Linked DNA regions of Coturnix japonica. Each later gene encodes a partner of the first gene's protein in a complex. Links are inferred from orthologs where the notes say so. Each region holds a gene or a part of one and is shown in the gene's direction. Other genes may lie near its edges. The genes, in order: CNOT6L and CNOT11.

What was found.
Region 2: CNOT6L (region 1) and CNOT11 share a complex: the UniProt entries of both Homo sapiens proteins name them as parts of the CCR4-NOT complex. The link is inferred for Coturnix japonica from reciprocal best matches to the Homo sapiens genes CNOT6L and CNOT11.

What each region holds. Positions count from the first base shown.
Region 1 is NC_029519.1:30,849,005-30,853,404, forward strand, and holds the start of CNOT6L (CCR4-NOT transcription complex subunit 6-like), read left to right. Parts: upstream 1-1,487; 5' UTR 1,488-1,556; intron 1,557-1,805; coding exon of another isoform or gene 1,806-2,295; exon of another isoform or gene 2,296-2,310; intron 2,311-3,584; exon of another isoform or gene 3,585-3,732; intron 3,733-4,153; exon of another isoform or gene 4,154-4,400. Other genes in the region: MRPL1 (39S ribosomal protein L1, mitochondrial), read right to left, coding at 1,806-2,295. UniProt on the Homo sapiens protein: Has 3'-5' poly(A) exoribonuclease activity for synthetic poly(A) RNA substrate.
Region 2 is NC_029516.1:120,253,388-120,257,971, forward strand, and holds the start of CNOT11 (CCR4-NOT transcription complex subunit 11), read left to right. Parts: upstream 1-1,608; 5' UTR 1,609-1,680; coding exon 1,681-2,092; intron 2,093-2,238; coding exon 2,239-2,403; intron 2,404-4,584. UniProt on the Homo sapiens protein: Component of the CCR4-NOT complex which is one of the major cellular mRNA deadenylases and is linked to various cellular processes including bulk mRNA degradation, miRNA-mediated repression, translational repression during translational initiation and general transcription regulation.

The sequences.
Region 1 (4,400 bases):
CTAAATACGGCAGGAGCCTCTTGGACTAGAATTGTTATGTTTAAATCCGAGTAGCTGATTTGAGGGACACAGGAAAAAACAACTTGCCTGGTGCTAGGAAAAAAAAAAAATCACCTCTTGAAACAGCAAGGAATGTAGACGTAACCAGTGTATTCTGCAGAGGAAGCAGGGCCTATGGCTGCAGTCTGCCACCCAAGTGCCTAGTGAAGCCCCAGGAGATGCTGGTCCTGCCAGCAGTGACCCTGGGCAGCCACTTGCAGAACCTGGTTTCTCAGTTACGCTCCCTTTGGAGAAGGGAGGGAAACAATACCTGGGGTGAGGGTGGCGAGGCCCTGGCCTGTAATGGGAGCCGGGAGATGTACAGAATGATTAACAGAGGCAACGGGAGAAGAGAAGGTACAGTCCCTTCAGTGAGCCATTGGGTGGGTATTTTTCAGGAGAGGAAATGACCAGACCAGCCAAAGGCGCAGCTGTCATAGAAGTCACAGTGCCCATGCCTTTCTGAGGCAGCACACGACTTTTCTCCTATAAAAACGCATCCCAGTAAAGTTATTCTTGAAGGTTTTTTTCTTGCTTTCTCTCTCCCTCTGCCCTCCTCTGTACATGTGTGCACCCGCTCACAACCACTCCTTTACACTGGACACAGCTGGCTGAACTGTGCTCTACCATGGAGGCTCCTTCTGTGCTCCTCATTCACATACGACTATTTTGGTCCCACAGGTGAACCCACAAAGACCTGCACTTTTCTCTGCCCTAGTTTTATTATCATAATTTATCTTCCCCCTTTAAAATCCACTCTCCATCTTTCCCTCATTCGACACCCACACATTTTCTTGTAGAACTTAGGCATGGTCCCCACAGGAAGGCCGCCTCCACCTCTGGTGTGCCCAGCTGGAGAACACTGTGCTCCAAAGCTGGCACACACACCATTTACCTGCTCTACCTGCCCTTTGACACGGCTCTGCAGACACAGACAGCGCGGTGCCCAAAGGGTTTGGCAGCAGGGGGACACCTCCTGTGGAGACAGAGGTGATGCCAGACGAGCCCTACGCCCCCAGAGGCTCAGGCTGAGCGCGGGGCCCCGTCACCCCGACACCTGAGTCACTTCCTCAGTCTGTCCGCGACTGCCAGAGGCCTTTCGCGGGGCGACCTGCTCCTCACGTACGCCCTGTCAGACGGCGCTCTCCGTAATTAACGACAATTACCCACGGAGGGCTGTTTTCCCTCCCTACGATCGGGTCCCCACTGGCGTCCCCAGGAGCAGCCGCCGCCCCGCAGGGCCCAACGGGGGCTCCCCGCCACCTCCTCGGGGTCCCGGCGCCTCCCCGGGGTCCCCGCGCCGCCCGCCCCGCTCCCGCCGCCTCCTCCTCCCGTCCCCACCTCCCGCTCCCCCGCCCTCCGCGCCGCCCGAGCCCCGGCCCGCTCCTCCCCGCCTCCGCAGCCGCCGCCGCCGCCGCCCCGTTCCCCGTCCCCGGCGGGCCGCCGCCCGCATGTCGTTGCTGCCCGCCGCCCCGCCGCCGCCGCCCCGCCGCCAGCCGCCGCCGCGCCGGATGCAGGTGAGCTCCGCGGCCCGCCGGGGCCTGGCGGGGAGCGGGACCGCCATGTCGCGGCCTGCGCCGCCCGCCGGCACCGGGGCCAGTGTCCGGCCGGGCGGCTGAGGGACGGCGGGCCCGCCCGGGAGAGGAGGGAGAGCGCTCGGAGGGAATGCGGGGCGGCGGGGGGACCGCGCGTTATCCCCGGTTCGGGGCCCGGGCGCGGCCGTGCGGGATACCCGGGCCCAACGCCGAGCCGGGCCGGGCGCTCACCTGGGCGCCGGGCGGCGGGGAGCGTTGCTTCCCTCCAGGGGGGTTCACTCGCCGCGGCCCCGCGCTCGGCTGCTGGCGGAGGCGAGGACGGGCACGAACGTCCGAGTTTGCACCGGCAATTCGGGGCTTGCTTCGGAAACTTCTCTGTGGAACATGGCGGAGCACGTCCCGCGGTGTGGCGGCCCCGCCGTGTTCTGTCTGATCGCCCAAAAACCTCGGCCACGTTCCGTCTGACCTCCCGGGACCTCGGGACGAGCAGCTTCGTCTGCCCGCTGCTGAAACTTGGAGACTGAGTGTCCACTTTTAGGAGCTGCAAGTTGTGTTGATTGGTCTCTGCTGGCACAGGAGGCCCGTGGCCACATGCGGTCTGTGGGGTGGGCAGTTTGCCCCCGCTGTGCCCAGCACAGCTCTGAGAGGCAGCTGCCCCCCACCCTGAGGCAGCATGGAGGGGAGCAGCTCGCCTTGAGTTGCTCCTGGCTTGTGTAGACATGGCCAATAATGAAAGTAATGATAACGCAGCTGTTTTTAGCATTTGCAGATGTTTTTACCCCTGTGCAAGTTTTTTAACAAAGAAATACAAAGCGTGTTGTGTCCAGTAAGAGTGTCGTCACTGTGACGAAAGCCCAGGAATTCCTAGAAGCAGCACCCATGTTTGGAGGGCTTTGGTAGGGCTGGAGTGTGGCCTTTGCAAACACAGCACCACTAATGTTTTCTCCCTGTATCTCTCCCAAAATGTGATGTGATGGTGAACCTTGTACTGAGAGTACTGTCCGTCCACACGGCAGCTCGCTGGGCATGGCCATGCACTGGCGGCACTCCAGACTGACAGAGGTAGCGTAGCCCCTTCTGTTCCCACTGTGCCCCGCTGCAGGCCGGTGTGTGCCTTATCAGAGCTCTCCAAACTGAGAGCTGTGGTACTGCAAATGCCTCAAGCTCTCTGCGTCCTGCCGAGGGTAATGGGATGTTGCTACTTGGTTGTGTCATTTTGCTCCAGAGTAAATGAGTGGCGTGTGCTGGTGATGTCATACTGCTCCATACCTTGCCATATCTGTGCATCACCGTATGTGTGGCCCACAGTACTGTGTTGATTCATCCGAACTGAACTTATGTTCCAATATCTACCCAGGTGTGAAATCTTTTTGCCTGCTGTCTTCAGAACTGGTTGTGGGTTGATGGAAGTCTCGTGACCGCCAGGTCATGCTTAGAGGTGGGAATTCTGCAGCGCTGTGCCGCTCGCTAAGCAAACCCCATTTGACACTATCAGTTATGTTCTTTTCTCACTATGAAAAGTGAGGAGTTGTAGCATGAAGAGTGCTGAAGTACAACAGAACAAACATTATTCAGTTTTGCCTTTTCTTCCTGCAAGGGCTGTGAATTTCACTGAAGTATAAAGTATGATGTAAGTGGATGATAGGTACTGCCACATCCTTGGGCTGCTGTTAGGTTTCCTTTCCCCTCAGAAACTGAGATGCTGATGTGCCTGTAACAAAGGAGTAGGAGGACTCGTTGTCAGACTGCTGGAAAAAGTTTGTTTGGCAGCACTATGAAAAACACCAAACTTTGCAGATTCATTTTGGTCCGCTGAGCTTCACACCAGGCCTATATGGCAAACTTCTGCTGGCACAGCTCTGTGTGCGAACGCTGTGGCGAGGTGTGACCCTTGAGTGACATAGCTGTGCCAGCAGAAGTCCCTGCTGTAGATGCAGTTATCTGCAGAAGTGCGTTTTTACTGATAGGGCTTGTTTTCGTTTTGAAGAGTGTTTTTCCCTGTAGCGGCGGTGGTGTGGTTGCCAGCAAAGCTCAGCACCTTGAGGGTGGGAGGACTTGGTGTGTCTGTCTCTGTGGGGACGCCACCAGCCTCTGCTCCTCTCCCTGCCCCGGGTATCAGGAGCTCGGGAACATCTGCAGTGGCCATTCTGTTGCTGAAGTAAGTGGTGTTATGACTGCTATTTGTTTATTTTTCCTTGCAAGGATCTTTGTAAAGCTTCGTTTCGGGCGATAAGCTGGTGTTGTTTTTTTTTTTTTTTATTGTTTGGATTCTGGCTGTTTTTCCTTACTGATCTTGCTTTTATAAAAAGCAGGGCAGGCTTTGCCCTGAGCTTGCCAAGCACAGCAATATTCAGCTCTCACACCAGTCCTACAGAAATCAGCCAGGACACGATCCCAACGCGTCTGTGGACTGTGGAGGTAAAATAAAAGGGAGCCATTGGAGAAGAGTTAATGAATTTGCACACCAGGGTGTGTCTTTACCTAATTTAAACCTGAAGGATTGCAAAGAACATCTTACATTGAGGTGGGTCTCTGCAGCTGCTGTCTTCCTTGTTCAGAGTCACTGTGCAAAATGGGGAGGTGCTTTTTCTTTTTTCTGAGAACATTTTACTTTCAGTGATAGTGTCGGTAACATGCACAGCTCTAGAGCAGATTTCCTGTAACAGCACAGAACTGGTGCTTAGATCAGCCTTGTGGAGACTTTTAGGTTGCTGAAGTTTAGAGGGCGGGGGATACATCCAAACAAATGGTTTGCTTTCTGGGAAGAGATCTGTGAGTCCAGAGTGCCCGTGAGGCACCGGGTGTCACCTGGTCTGCAGGGCTTCA
Region 2 (4,584 bases), on another chromosome or scaffold:
CCCTCCTGCAAAGATCCAACTGATATTGATTTGAGATGAAAACAGAAACAAAGCGTAAGTCGGAGTCATCGAACCAGGGAACAGAAATAGTGCCAAGTGAGTCAGGCGTGCAATTGCAGAGCTCAGACGATAAAAGCTGAATACTCCAATTCAAGTTCAGAGTGAAGAGTTTCCAAGTGATGTTCACATAGGAATCCAAGTAATCATAGAATTACCCAGGTTGGAAAAGACCTTGAAGATCATCAAGTCCAACCACAGCCTAACCAGCACCCTAACTCTAACAACCCTCTGCTAACTCATATCCCTGAGCACCACATCCAAATGGCTCTTAAACACAACCAGGGATGGCGATTCAACCACCTCCCTGGGGAAAATAATAATAATGACTTGACATGGGCTGACACTTGAAAACTGCCTTAAAATACCCAAGTGTCACTACAGTTCACAGAAGCTCAAGAATTTATCACCAACCATGTTTGTTTCTGAATGACCATGGAACAGCACATATGAAGCCATTGTAAAATCGTATCTGGGGTGTTTTTACAAAATACATCCAAGAATCGCTTGACATCTTTGAGGTCTGATGAACAAGTGAAGCTCAGGAAGGCTTTTAGGCATTGTTAGCACGCCAATATTGTTGATTACTCCAGGAGTAATAAATCTGTTTCTGTTGTCTCATGGTAGGTTTTGAACTGAAGAGCTGAACTAGGAAAGATAACATGCAATGGTCACTAGAAAGCTGCATATGGAGAGGCTCACACGAAACCTAACTTCCCCAACCCTTTTAGATTTGTTGCTATTAAAAATACACTGTAGATGGGCAGGGTCACTTAAATTACTAAGGGAAGGAATCTGTGTACAAGAGAAAAGCCTTGTGAGAATAAACAAAACAATCTGGATGTGTTCTGATTTCCCCTTTGACTTCAAGGTGTGACTTAATTCCTTCCCATCGTGTTCTTCCCATGTGAAATGTGGGATAAAAATACACCAGTGGAAGTTATTTCCTAGCTGAAGGATTCAGCTTCTTCGCTAGAAGAAACTCAAACACTTGCTGTGAAGCAGGTCAATTTAATATCACTTCTTTGCCACCTTTTTCTTTCACCTCCCTCCTGCTGCCTATTTCTGTTGCTACCTGAGCAGAAGCACCACAGATCTACTTGAGAGTGGATGAGCACCCAGACAACTTGCACACACCAGAAGCACAAAATCCGCTGCTCAGTTTCAGGTCACAGAATCTCAGAATTGTAGGGGTTGGAAGGGACCACTAGAGGTCATGGAGTCCAACCCCCCTGCCAAAGCAGGCTCCCTACACCACGTCACACAGGTAGGCGTCCAGGCGGGTCTTGAATATCTCCAGAGAAGGAGACTCCACCACCTCCCTGGGCAGCCTGTTCCAGTGCTCCATCACCCTCACTGTAAAGAAGTTCGAACTTCCTATGCTGTACTTTCATCCCATTACCCCTAGTCCTATCAGATGACAGCACCACAGGGCGGTGTGCGTGGAACGCGCTGCGCTCCCCCTACTGGCCCCAACGCCCGTCGCGCTCCGTCCCCGCCCCGCCCCGCCAGTCCCGGCCCAATGTCCCGGCCCATCCCCTGCCGTGCCGTAAAGCGCGTCCGGCGCCTCAACGCTCGGCCTTCCGGTGTTGTGCAGCGGCGGGGCCGTGCGCCGTGAGGCGGATGCCCGGGGGCGGGGGCAGCCCGGCCGAGGCGGGCGGTGAGGCGGGAGGAGCGGGTGGCGGCGGTGGAGCGGCGGGCGGCAGGATGAGCCTGTCGCCGAAGGAGCTGACGAGCCTGCTGGGCATCGTGTCGGAGGAGGCGGGCGGCAGCACCTTCGAGGGCCTCTCCAGCGCCTTCCACCACTACTTCGGCAAGGCCGAGCATTTCCGCCTGGGCTCCGTGCTGGTGCTGCTGCTGCAGCAGCCCGACCTGCTGCCCAGCCCCGCGCAGCGCCTCACCGCCCTGTACCTGCTATGGGAGATGTACCGCACCGAGCCCCTCGCCGCAAACCCCTTCGCCGCTGTCTTCGCCCACCTGCTCAACCCCGCTCCCGAACGCGGCGGCGACGAGGCGGAGCGCACCCCGCTCTCAGGTGCCGGGAACGGCCGGGGCTGTGACAGCGGGAAGGGTCACTCGTTTTGCCGTAACGTTACTGTACGAGATGATCTCTCCACGCTTAAGGAGCACGCGGGGTAGTGATGGCCTCAGGAATCTTACCGCTCCCCTCTCTCCCCGCAGGCTTCTTGCCGCCCATAACCCCGCCCGAGAAGTTCTTCCTCTCGCAGCTGATGCTGGCCCCCCCCAGGGAGCTGTTCAAGAAGACCCCGCGCCAGATCGCTGCCATGGACGTTGGCAACATGGCCCAGTCGGTGGATATAAGCGGGCTACAGCTGGCATTGGCGGGTAAGGAGGAGATGTGGCTGTGCTGTGATAGGAGAGTGGTTAGGCCCTGGAACAGGCTGCCCAGGGAGGTTGTGGATGCCCCGTCCTTGGAGGTGTTCAAGACCAGGTTGGACGGGGCCCTGGGCAACCTGATCTAGTAAATGTGTATGTTTGGTGGCCCTGCCAGGCAGGGGGGTTGGAACTACATGATCCTTGAGGTCCCTTCCAACCCGGGTCATTCTGTGATTCTGTGAAATGTTAATTGCTGTTTGACTTTGAGGTGCTTCTGTCTGTGTGGCAAAAGTTGGACTGTGGTCAGGTTTTGCAGTGTTAGCTCACACTAAATGTTCTGCCTTTACTAGGCTATAAGGAACTCAGTGCTTATTCTTGGGCAGGAATAGGATTGTTCTGATCGTGTGGAGCAACAAGTTGCATCTAGAGCTGATCTGAAATGGAAAATATTGCTTAGAATGAGTTGCCAACTCGAGCAGTTTATTTCCTAGGTACTCTATTCTGCACAATACAGTACTTGGCTTCTAAACTTCAGTTCAGTTGGTGACGTACTGTAACAGGTTGCCCAAGGAGGCTGTGGATGCCCCATCCCTGCAGGCATTGAAGGCCAGGCTGGATGTGGCTCTGGGCAGCCTGGTCTGGTGGTTGGTGACCCTGCACATAGCAGGGGGTTGAAACCAGATGATCACTGTGGTCCTTTGCAACCCAGGCCTTTCTATGATTCTATGATTCACTGTGGTAACTTTTCTTGTAGGCTCTTCTATTGAATGTCAGTTGCTGGAATAGAGCGTCTTGATTCTCCAGATCAAGAGAGCCTGATAAAACATAAGTGATTGCATTCGTAGGAATTGTTTTCTTCAATTTGAACATACTGGTTCAAGTTGCTGTGTTCTCTTCTGAAATACAACCGTGTTCTAGCTAACAGCGCTCACCCCTTCCTTCTGCTTACACTGGGCTGCCCAGGGATGTGGTGGGGTCACCATCCCTGGAGATGTTCGGGAACATGTAAGAATGTATCTTAAACTTTTGTTCTAATTAAGCATCATTAGTCATTTGAGATGAGGGGATTTGAGGGTATACAACCAATCCATGACTTTATACCTATATAGGTGTAAGTTTTAGACTACGGATGACAATGAAGGACACCCAGTATGTCACCTTGTTTTCTTCTCAGAGAACTTCTTACGTTGACTCAGCTGATCCCTGTAGGAGCTGAATGGTAGAACTCACAAGCTGGAATTTCCAACAGCGTATAAAGTTTGAGCATATATTCCAGTGTTTTGCATGGGCTGACATAATTGGAAGATGGACATTTCTAGTATAAACTAGCAGTAGGCAGAGCTTTGTGTCTGTGTCCTTTTGTTACCTACAGGAGTTTTGCTGTAAGCGTCTCTCATGGATCTGAAATAGAGTTTCATACGGATGAGGAGCTGCAAAGGGTTATATGGCTGCACAAAAAAGTGTGCTTTGTTAAAAGAGATAAGGATGGGGTACTGAAGCTGAGGGCACTACACTTAATTAATCATCCGGATAAGAAATGGTGTTGATTTCGTGTGGGACCAGCAAATTTGGCCTTCAGATTACTTGAGACTTTATCTGCTACTTAATATCCTCCTTGGGAGGGGGAGGGAAGGAACATAAGATGGCATTGTATGGCAGGCTCTTGGCTTTCCTGCATGTTGTTGGGCTTTTGTTGGTTTGCTTTTACCAAGGTAATAGAAAACATGGTTCTCACTAATACAGAGAATATGGAAGGTCAGCCCTTAAGCCTTCAGGTATGGAAGAGCGAGAGACTGTGACAGAAGAACACCTAAAATTTGACAGTGCAAATATTGATTGGTTGTAATAGTTTATTTTACCACTCTTTCACGTCTTCAGCTTCATATGCTAAATTTAGTATTACTTCTATGTACCTTGTTTATGCTCTGTAATTTGGGCTTTAGAGGGATGCTCTTACAGGACTTTATAGCTGTAACTGTAGAATCCTGTATCAATTAAACTCCTATGCAAAAGCAGCTTACGTGGTGCCACTGAAGTGTGTTGGCTGAATCTGAATAGGTGACTTCAGTTCTAGTATGACCCTTATCATTGCAGAAAGTAAATGTATCTCTGCAGGTTTCTCTCTTCACTGCTCTGAGAAATGATTGCAAAAGTAGATAGAGTTATGCGAACTCTTTCAGGACTATCATG